Linked DNA regions of Yarrowia lipolytica. The protein of the gene in region 2 purifies or fractionates together with the protein of the main gene of each other region. This does not show direct contact. Links are inferred from orthologs where the notes say so. Each region holds a gene or a part of one and is shown on either strand. Other genes may lie near its edges.

Region 1 (5,319 bases), on a different chromosome or scaffold from region 2:
TGTTCTATAATCTTTGTAACTCGGAAGACTTGTAAACATTGTGGCACTTCTCTACTGCAAATGATGGCAGCACCCATCATTTACTGAGAACAATACTATGACAAGGGTGAGTGGCAGCTATGTCAATCTTTCCAGACTTTCACACCCTATTTGAGCAATATAATATATATATATATATACTATATATATATATTTCCTCTACTTGCACTCATACAAATATGTCTGGATTAATGCAGATCTATTTCCATTGGCGAAGTTTAGCCCTCTTTGAAACGATATTATGGGATCTGCTCAGTTGGCGGGCCCACCTAAACGGAAACGGGCATTTGTGGCATTGTCGCTACTTGATCTGACCTACTAGTGCTTCAACTTTTCTACCATGCTCTCGTGTTACAGCTTCACGGTATTGTACCACAGCTCGTACTCCCCATATCCCTCACACTACTCACTCTTCACCCACTACACCTTGTACTTCTCTTATTTGTACTACAAGTACTCATACTCGTCAAGCCCGAGCAGTTCATGCTTCGCACCTTTTACTGGCGTCAGTTCTATCAATATCTTTATTAAACGACAACTTTGCTACCTCCTAGCATTGTTGCTATGCACCATTGGAAGATTCCAACACATCCTCGCGCACTTGTGAACCACTCCTTACGTGGTCCACAGCTTTGCAGTTCCGTCAGCAGCGGCTGAAAACAACCAAGCCTCCCGGGGATGCCACTCAACCCGCAGAATACCCAGACCGCTCTTGACATCGTGGCCCTTGAGCACCTTGAGAGGCACCAGCAGAGGGTTGGTCATCATGTCGTCGTAGACGGTGCCGTGGAAAATGTTAATATTACCGTCGTCAGAAGCGGAGCAGAACAACGGCAGACCACCCTTGTGGAATGCTGCGTGCCGCACGGCCTTTTCGTGGTATCGCAGGGTCTTGTAGGGCTTATCACTGAGGTCGAGATCGTGCCACAGAAGCCGTTTGTCGAACGACGACAGGATCACGTTATCACCACGGGGATGAATGTCCAGAGAAGACACCCATCTAGCACCGGGCATAAGCTTCTTGGCCATGACCTGCTTGGCCAGATCGTAAATACGCACGTATCGCTGGGTGGCAACGTACAGATGAGGTCGGAAGGGATGGAACATGGCGTCCTGCACAATACCCTTGGACTTATTGAAAGGCGACTGTGACGAATGCTTAGAGATCTGGTGGATGGCCACGGCTCTGTGCTGCGCCGAGGGGGCCACAGTGACCAGATAGTCTCCCTTTCGGTGCCATGCGAGTCGCTTGATGGTTTTGGTGGCGGTAATGATGGCTCCAATACCAGAGGCCTGCTGCTTGGCGGTGGGGGTGATCCACTTGGCAGGAGGGCTCTTCTTCTTGACGTGACCGGTCTCGTCGTCCGAGTCGGAGTCAGCATCGTCATCCAGACCCTTGGTATCGATATCCTGCTGCTCTCGTCCTCCCTCGGCAAAACCCCATCCCTGCTCAATCTTCTCTCGGCCGGTGTTCTCGATATCAAAGTCAAACAGCGTGGGAGGCACAATCAGGAAAATATGCTCACCAGCAGAGGCAGCCAGCATGCCAGGGACAGCGGGGTTCCACTGCACACACTCGACTGAGTCATCCTGAGCATCAATGGACGCCACCAGACGACATCGGTACAGCTCTCGACCAGTGAGCACTTCCCAAACTCGAAGAGTTCCGTCGTCGCCTCCAGTGGCAAGGAACTCTCCACTGGGATCCACAGAGATGGCTCGAACCTTGCCCTTGTGGCCCTTGTAGGTGGTAGCACATCTGATGGGGAAAGGCATGAGATCCTTGGGGGAGGGGAGATCGGGAATCAGAGAGTCGGGATCAATGTTGAGCTTGTTCTTTCGCACTCGAGGAGCCAGGTAGAGATCCAAAGACCGCTCGAAACGCTCTCGAACAGACTCGGAGTAGCCGGGCACATGTCGCAGAGCAGTGTACTTCTTGGGCACGTAGTTTCGCTCTCTCTCGGAAGGAGCAAGAGCATTCCACTCGGCAATCTCCTCTTCGGTGGGCAGATACTCGGCAGGGGGGTTGTAGGACTCGTCGTGGGTGGGAGGGGGCATTTTGGGGGCTCGCAGAGTCATGACGTGGTCCTGGACGTCCGTGAGGTTGTCGGCCCACACGTCGTAGTTGGGTCGGGCGTCAGGGTCCTCCTTGGGCTTTGTCAGCAGTTTACCCTGTCTAATGGCCTGCACCATCTTCATGACTCGCTTGGCCTCGTGCTTGGAGGGAATGAATCGTCTCTTGGGCTCGGGCGCAGCAGACAGAGGCATGATCTCTGTCTTGGAAGAGAACCACTCCACCAGGTCCTCGTAGGGATTGGAGGCGTCATCGGTGGTCTCATTCTTCTGAATCCGCTTGATGAGTTCCAGTTCCTCCTTGGAAATGTTGAGACCCTTTCCGGTGCTCTTGTCTAGCAGGCCGGTCCATCCCTCGGGCAAATCAATCGTCTCCAGTAGGTTGTCCAGAGCAGAACCGGTAGCGGGTCGCATGATTCGCTTACCGTTGATGTCATATCCAATGTGAGGCATCTGGTCGTAGGCAGACAGGGGCACGTTTCCAATGGTATTGGATTCCTCCTGGTCCGAATCGTCCGAGTCGTAGACAGCATGGATTTCCTTCTTGATCATTCGAGGCTTGCCGTCGGCTCCAGGCACAATTTCAACCACGTCCTTGAGCTCATCAGTCTGGTCGGAAGATCGAGACAGAGATCGCAGACGAACTCCGTCATCCAAATGCTTTAGAATCGAGGGGTCGACCTCGTCGTCTCCAGCATCAGAAAAGTAAGCCAGCTCGTCTTCCAGCTCGCTTCCAGACAGATCCTCCTCTTCACCGATGAGTGCCTCAAGCTCGGCGTCAGAGTCACTTTCATCGTCGGCATCTTCTTCGTTTTCAGTCTTGCTGGTGTTCTTCTTGTCCTTTGTCACATTTTCTTGTGCCACTTCCTGCTCAGCTTCATCCTCGTCGTCGGAGTCGCCCTCATCAATGAGTCCCTCGACATCGAACTCGTCTTGCACGTCGACAGGCTCGTCGACTTTGCGCTTCAAATCCTTCTTAACGGAGTTGGAACGACTTCGTACCATTTTTGTGTGCTGTGCGAAAAGTTGCAAATCCAATTTAAAAAAAATTGTCTACTATGCATGTCCAAAGTTAAAGTCAGGTTATGACGAGGAGGAGAAGTGGACATCACCTATACTTGGTTTACGCGGTGAAGTTTGTACTCCACATTAATATCTGAGCCAACACCATTCTTATGATCTGCTCAGATTTTACACATCTCACCAACAACCCCTCTTTTGAAGGGTCCCACAAACGTCACATCTCCACAATAAAATTCCATGCAACTCTGTAACCTCACTTACCTTACAAAGGAGATATATATGTCATCCATAACCAAACATTGAGAGTAGGTAGGTGGTATAAAAACAATACAAGCTTGGCTTCTTGTGATATGATCTCCATATAAAATATCCCATTTTTTCACTCGTGCATAGGTCATATCACACGCCCCAATGCCCCACAACAAAACCACTAGACTGTGCTTAACTACAGTAGACTTCCAACAACGTATACTTGATCTGAAAGCTATATGAGGATTACGGCGTTCTCAAATTGTTCATCCGATTATAATATTGACTGACCAATTTCCTAGGCCATCCTGTCTTACGCCTCAACTTCGATATGGATCCCACTTGCACACCACTTCTTCATCACCACCTCACCCGTACGTCAAACTCTACAAGCGAGGTTCTGTCAGCACAATAAAAACGCTTTGAGGGGCTGCACAATCTTGGTGTCGTCATGACCTCGGATGATTTTGGTGAGAAGTGACTGGGTTGTTTTCTTGGTTGAAGAAATGTAAGAGTAGCTACTTGTACTGTTTGCCCTTTGAAGACTATTGACACACAAAACTCCAGTGCAAGTTCCCATCAGGGGAAAAAAAAGATTGCAGCACCCAGGATTCTCGTATGGGTCTCCCCACTACAATACCTAACTAGGCTCTCCTGGTGCTTGGACTATGGCTGATCGGACGGGAAGGCCGTATTTTTTCCCACCAGGATAATGGCCGCAACCGTTATTCAATAAATTTGGTTGGACCTATATGATGGGAAAGATATATCACGTGACATAATGAATCATTAGAATAAAAAAAAAAACGTGAATCATTAGAATAAAAAAAACCCTGCCTCGCAGCGCACACCGAAACGATTTATGATTTATTTAACGCCAATAACCCGGCTTACTACAAGTACATACTGTAGGTATATAGCTGTAGTGAAGAAGAAAAAAAAATTAGAATAAGCTGTAAGCCGGGTTATTGGCGTTCAATAAATCATACACTTCTGAATCATTGCGGTGTGCGCTGAGAGGCGCACGTCAGTTGGTTTGTCGACGCTTCGTCTCGTTCTTGTCTTTGTCGTGGTCTCGTGGTATTGTTTTGTTTTGTTGTATTCTAATGATTCATCACCGTTTTTTTTTTTTTTCTAATGATTCGGCTTAGTCATCTGAGTTCTGTTGTTTGCGTCCCAAGAAAATAAATATTATGTTCGAAATGGCATCCTGGCCGAGCGGTTAAGGCGAGAGATTAGAAATCTCTTGGGGTTTCCCCGCGTAGGTTCGAATCCTGCGGATGTCGCCATCTTTTTGCCCTTCCGTGGAAGAGCTTATTTTTTTGAGAGCAATTGCGACACACTCGGGGTTGCTATGATTGCCACCAGGCACCGTATAAACTGTGTTCAACCACAATTGAGACATTTCAGGCTCCTGTATATATTTCAGATTACTCAGCCAGTTCGAAGGCAAACTCAATTCAACACTCATATACATGATAAACCACATACTCATATCTCATGCACTCTACCCCAACACATTACACAACATCATGCCCACACTCCACTGCCTTGCCGACCTTTGCCTCATTCCTGTGAGTTACGCCGATACTATCAATTAATGTACCCCGAAATATGACTAACACAGATTGGAACAGGCAACGCCTCAGTTTCTGAGTACGTGACCGACGTGGTTCGAGTCATCAAGGCATCAGGTCTGCACTACGTCCTCCACAGTGCCGGCACCACCATCGGTGAGTATACATACGCTTCACAGACAAGTCACACAGAGAGTGGATCATACACAGTCACACACCACACGCAGTTTTGTGGGGACACAAAGGCATGTCGTGCGATACAGACGCCAATCACACCAACCTTGTCACTCGTTGACATGAGCTAACCACAGAAGGACCCTGGGATGAGGTGTGTGCCACCATCGGAAAGGCACACGAA
Region 2 (4,341 bases):
GGTTGAACTGGCCCGAAGTCGTTCGCTTGGCCTTGCTTGGAGCGCCGTTTGTATATGAAAGTCGCGGTTTGGCCATGTCAGTGGGCAGAAGATGTGTTGCTTTGGGTGTTGTATTTGTGTCACTGGCAGGAGTTTGGGTTTGTGTCTCCGGTTTTGTCCGTCTGTTTCGTGTCTGTGTCTATCTTGGTAGACCTCTTGATGATCGTCGTCTTGCTGCACTGGCTGCCAAATCACCCCTTCAATATAATTCAGACTGTATAGACTGTATCCCCTTAACTTAATAAAGTAAACAATGTCACGTGTAATGTGCATGTTAGATGCAAAGAAAACCAAACCTCCTAACCTTATTATATTGGGAGACGACTGGCAAGGTCACTAATAGACAGCTTTTTGATGTTGACTGGTGGGAGTTGTTTTATCTTACAATATGTTTTATATTTATTTATTTATTTATTTATTATATATATATTAAAATGTAACTTGTGTCAGTACCAAGTTTCATATACAAACTCTTCCCTTGTCAACTTGCCTGGAGATTTGATCAATCAGGTGTCTGCGCACTGTTCCTAGCAGGAGTTGATCTGAAACAAACTCCCTTATGACATTAGGTTCTCCATGATATACAAGATCTATTAGTTTAGTTTATGTACTCCGTTTATACAGGTACAAGGAGCGCTGAGTCGCTCGAAAATGCGCTGACATCCATGCTCGCCATTGTCTAGTTATCCTTCTCAATAGTCACCTTCACCTTTTTGTTCTTTCGAGCAGCCTTGGCAGCCTTCTTCTGCTGCTTCTTGGAGGGCTGGGGCATCTCGACCTCAGACTCGGAAGCAGACATGTCGTGATCGCTCTCGGGAATGGGCAAGGCCTTCTTAATCTCCATCTCCACGTCCTCCTGGACCATGACACAACAGTTAAGTCGGTCTCCGGTGTTGTAGGCACCCACAGTCTCTCGAGTGTTCATATCGGTGATGACAAGCTTGGAGTCGGTGGAAACCGAGGTCATGTAGACGTGTCGATCGGCCTCGGGAACATTATCGGGGATGAGGAAGGAAAAGTCCTTGACTCGGGTAGCGTGGGGCTGGACCTTGAAGGAGATGGTATCAATGTCTTCGTCCTCCGTCTTGAACTCGTTCTTTGTGTCGTTGGTCTTGCCCTCGAACTCGTTGGTGTCCACAAACCGGATCACGCCTCGCGAGTTGGAGAAGGCAAAATATTCCTTTCCGTCGATGGACACGTACTCGGAGTGGTACAGACCGTCCTTGGGCGATCTGATGGCTCCAATGAGTTTGCCGGTCTCGGGCGAAAAGAAGGAGATGGACGTGGTGTAGGTAACTGCGTAACGATCTCCAGCCAGGTTCCACGCCACCTTGAGCACGTCGGGGTAGCAAGCCATGACAGAGGCCTTCTTGGCGGTCATGAGGTTCCACAGAATCAGCTTTCGGTCCTGTCCAACCGACAGAGCCAGTCGGCCGGTGGGGTGAACAGAAATGTCGACAACACCGACCTTGGCCTTGCCCACGGCGGCTCGAGCGTGTCCCTTGAGCTCTGCCAGCACCTCCCAGTCCTTGGTTCGCAGCACAAAGATCTTTCCGTCTTCTCCGGCAGTCAACAGCCACTTTCTCTTGTAGAACTCGAGAGCAGTGATGGTTCCCGAGTGATGGGTCAGTGTGCCGAGCTCTTTTCGCTTCTGAAGATCGTAGATTCGAATGTTCTCGTCAGCCGATCCGGACACAAGATACCGTCCAGAGGTGGCCAGACACTTGATGGACTGAATGTGAGGAGTAAAATGGAAAATGGGCGAAAAAACAGGCGAGGTGCCCAGCAGGAGAGAAACACAAAAGAGATTGTGTTCGTAGGAACCTGTCACGATTCGAAAAGCAGGATCAACTGACGACGTGGAAGAGGAGGTGCTCACAATCGTCTTGGACAGGTCGGCTGGGGTCTCCTCGACGGGCTTTTCGGCCACAATTTTCTCCGCGGCCTCCGCGGCCATCTTGACCTGCTTCTTGTCGGATTTGGAGCCCTTCAGGGCGCTCTTGGGCTTGGTGATTTTGCTCATAGTGTAGTTAGGATGATGTGAATAGTTCGCACACAGAGTTTCAAAAATATTTGAAGTCTGCATGAATGTGCATGCTGACTAAGCGAGGGAGTGGGGCCGGGGGATGGGGAGAAAATCGCCATAGATGCAACGAGGCCGCGGGTCGGGACTTTATTGCATTAAATGGGGTAAATTTGGATCGGAGAAAAGGAGCGTTGACCATTTTGGAGCGACTCTCAAGTGACCAAAAAGCTAACTAATGTTTCATCTAACTTATGCTTTTTACTTGGGTGTGTAGTTTGGAGAATGGCGCCATATTTAGACGTCAAATTTCAGCTGTATGCCTACATTGCGGCTGAACTTGAAGGAGAACTTGAAGTCGTCAGAAGTTCAGATCTGAAATATTAATAGGTATTTAGTGTCTGCTGGTCAATCAATGTCACGTCTGGGATTGTTTTCATACCAATATATTCGTATTTATACGGATTCTGGTTTATGAATGATCCATGTTCCAAATAATGGTAATTAGTTGAGATTTAGTTGAACCAAAATGTGTGCTAGGGGTGCATTTTCCATGATCCCGACATGCTACAATTATTATAGTTGCATCATTTGATAGCTGCAGCCTTGAAGAGTATTATTATGTGAGGAAAACATACTCCTTTTCATCACTATTTCAAGTTATATCCACTTTTCCTCAAAGTGTCTTCCTCCTATTACTTGACATTTACTTATACCCGAACGGTTAACCTCCCAGCAGACCCAACATTGGCAACATAGTATGTACCTTCTTGCATACGAGTATATGTACTCATGTCGACGTGTAGAGTGATTACGTGATTGGACAGGTTATGTGAGTCACGTGACCATATCCATCCGAAAGCCGCCTCTCAAAAAGTGCTATTTGTAGTATGTAATACTATTGGTGCTTTTGAAATCTGTGCCAATCAGTGAGCAGTCATCAACTAGAACTTCTAAAATGACGATTGAAGACGACTTAGCCCAACGGTCCGGGTCTAGCAGTAGTCGTAGTCAGTTGGGCGAAAATGGGTCTTTTTGCCATTTTTCAAAGCTCAATCTGCTTCAAAATGGGCTATCAATCACCCGAAGCAGTGTCGATGTCGATATCTAGCCCGGAACATCCTCTTTTGGCCCGCCCTTGGCACAGGTTGTACGGTGAGTCATGTAACCTTTCTCCAGTCTAAACTCAATTTAGGCACTCAAATCTTTCTATACAAACCTCCTCTCCAAGCCAGTCGCATCTCCAACTACACACCACCATGTTTGCCGAGGGTCAGATCCAAAAGGTCCCGATTCTGGGCAAGGAGTCCATCCACATTGGCTACAAGATGCAGGACCACATTGTGTCTGAAATCGTGGCCAACATCAAGTCGTCCACCTACATTCTGGTAACCGACACCAACATTGAGGATCTGGGCTACGTTGAGTCTCTTAAGACGAAATTCGAGGCTGCGTTTGCCAAGGACGGCATCAAGAGCCGACTGCTGACCTACACCGTTGCGCCCGGAGAAACCTCCAAGTCCAGAGCCACCAAGGCCGCCATTGAAGACTGGATGCTGTCCAAGGGCTGCACCCGAGATACGGTGATCCTGGCTGTGGGAGGCGGAGTGATCGGAGACATGATCGGCTACGTGGCCGCCACCTTCATGCGAGGAGTGCGGTTTGTCCAGATCCCCACCACTCTGCTTGCCATGGTTGACTCGTCCATTGGAGGCAAGACCGCCATTGATACCCCTCTGGGCAAGAATCTGGTCGGCGCCTTCTGGCAGCCCGTCAACATTTTCATCGACACTTCTTTCCTCGAGACTCTGCCCGTTCGAGAGTTCATTAACGGTATGGCGGAGGTCATTAAGGTGAGTATAGAATCAACCGCATGCAGTGCAGATTGGCAGTTAGGTGCGATGTGTGATAGTTGCTTTGATTCGACAGTTGGTTGGTGCTGTTTGGGTTGTTCTACAGGTCTGTGGTTGAATAATCGACTGGTATAATTTCCCGATCGGATCTACACTTTTACAAGTACTATCTACAGCTGCTGATCTAATCACAATACTGTACAGCAGCACCCACTGTACTCCTCTTTTCTCTAGCTAACACAGACTGCGGCATTCTACGACGCCGAAGAGTTCACACGGCTCGAGTCCGCGTCGGAAATCTTCCTGTCCACTATCAAGAAGCGAGACGCCAAGGACCCCCGACGAGTCGATCTGTCCCCCATCACCGACACCATTGGCCGAATTGTTCTCGGTTCTGCTAGAATCAAGGCCGCCGTTGTCTCTGCC

Evidence for each region.
Region 1: the proteins of YALI1_F17004g (region 2) and YALI1_E31351g purify together in Saccharomyces cerevisiae (affinity purification with mass spectrometry, with the first as the bait; 3 studies listed by BioGRID). This does not show direct contact. The link is inferred for Yarrowia lipolytica from reciprocal best matches to the Saccharomyces cerevisiae genes MAK11 and ERB1.

What each region holds. Positions count from the first base shown.
Region 1 is NC_090774.1:3,132,017-3,137,335, forward strand, and holds YALI1_E31351g (uncharacterized protein), read right to left. Parts: upstream 3,118-5,319; coding exon 655-3,117; downstream 1-654. Other genes in the region: YALI1_E31369g (uncharacterized protein), read left to right, coding at 4,917-4,958, 5,012-5,117, 5,273-5,319.
Region 2 is NC_090775.1:1,698,244-1,702,584, reverse strand, and holds YALI1_F17004g (uncharacterized protein), read right to left. Parts: upstream 2,126-4,341; coding exon 719-2,125; downstream 1-718. Other genes in the region: YALI1_F17025g (uncharacterized protein), read right to left, coding at 1-76; YALI1_F16984g (uncharacterized protein), read left to right, coding at 3,322-3,915, 4,159-4,341.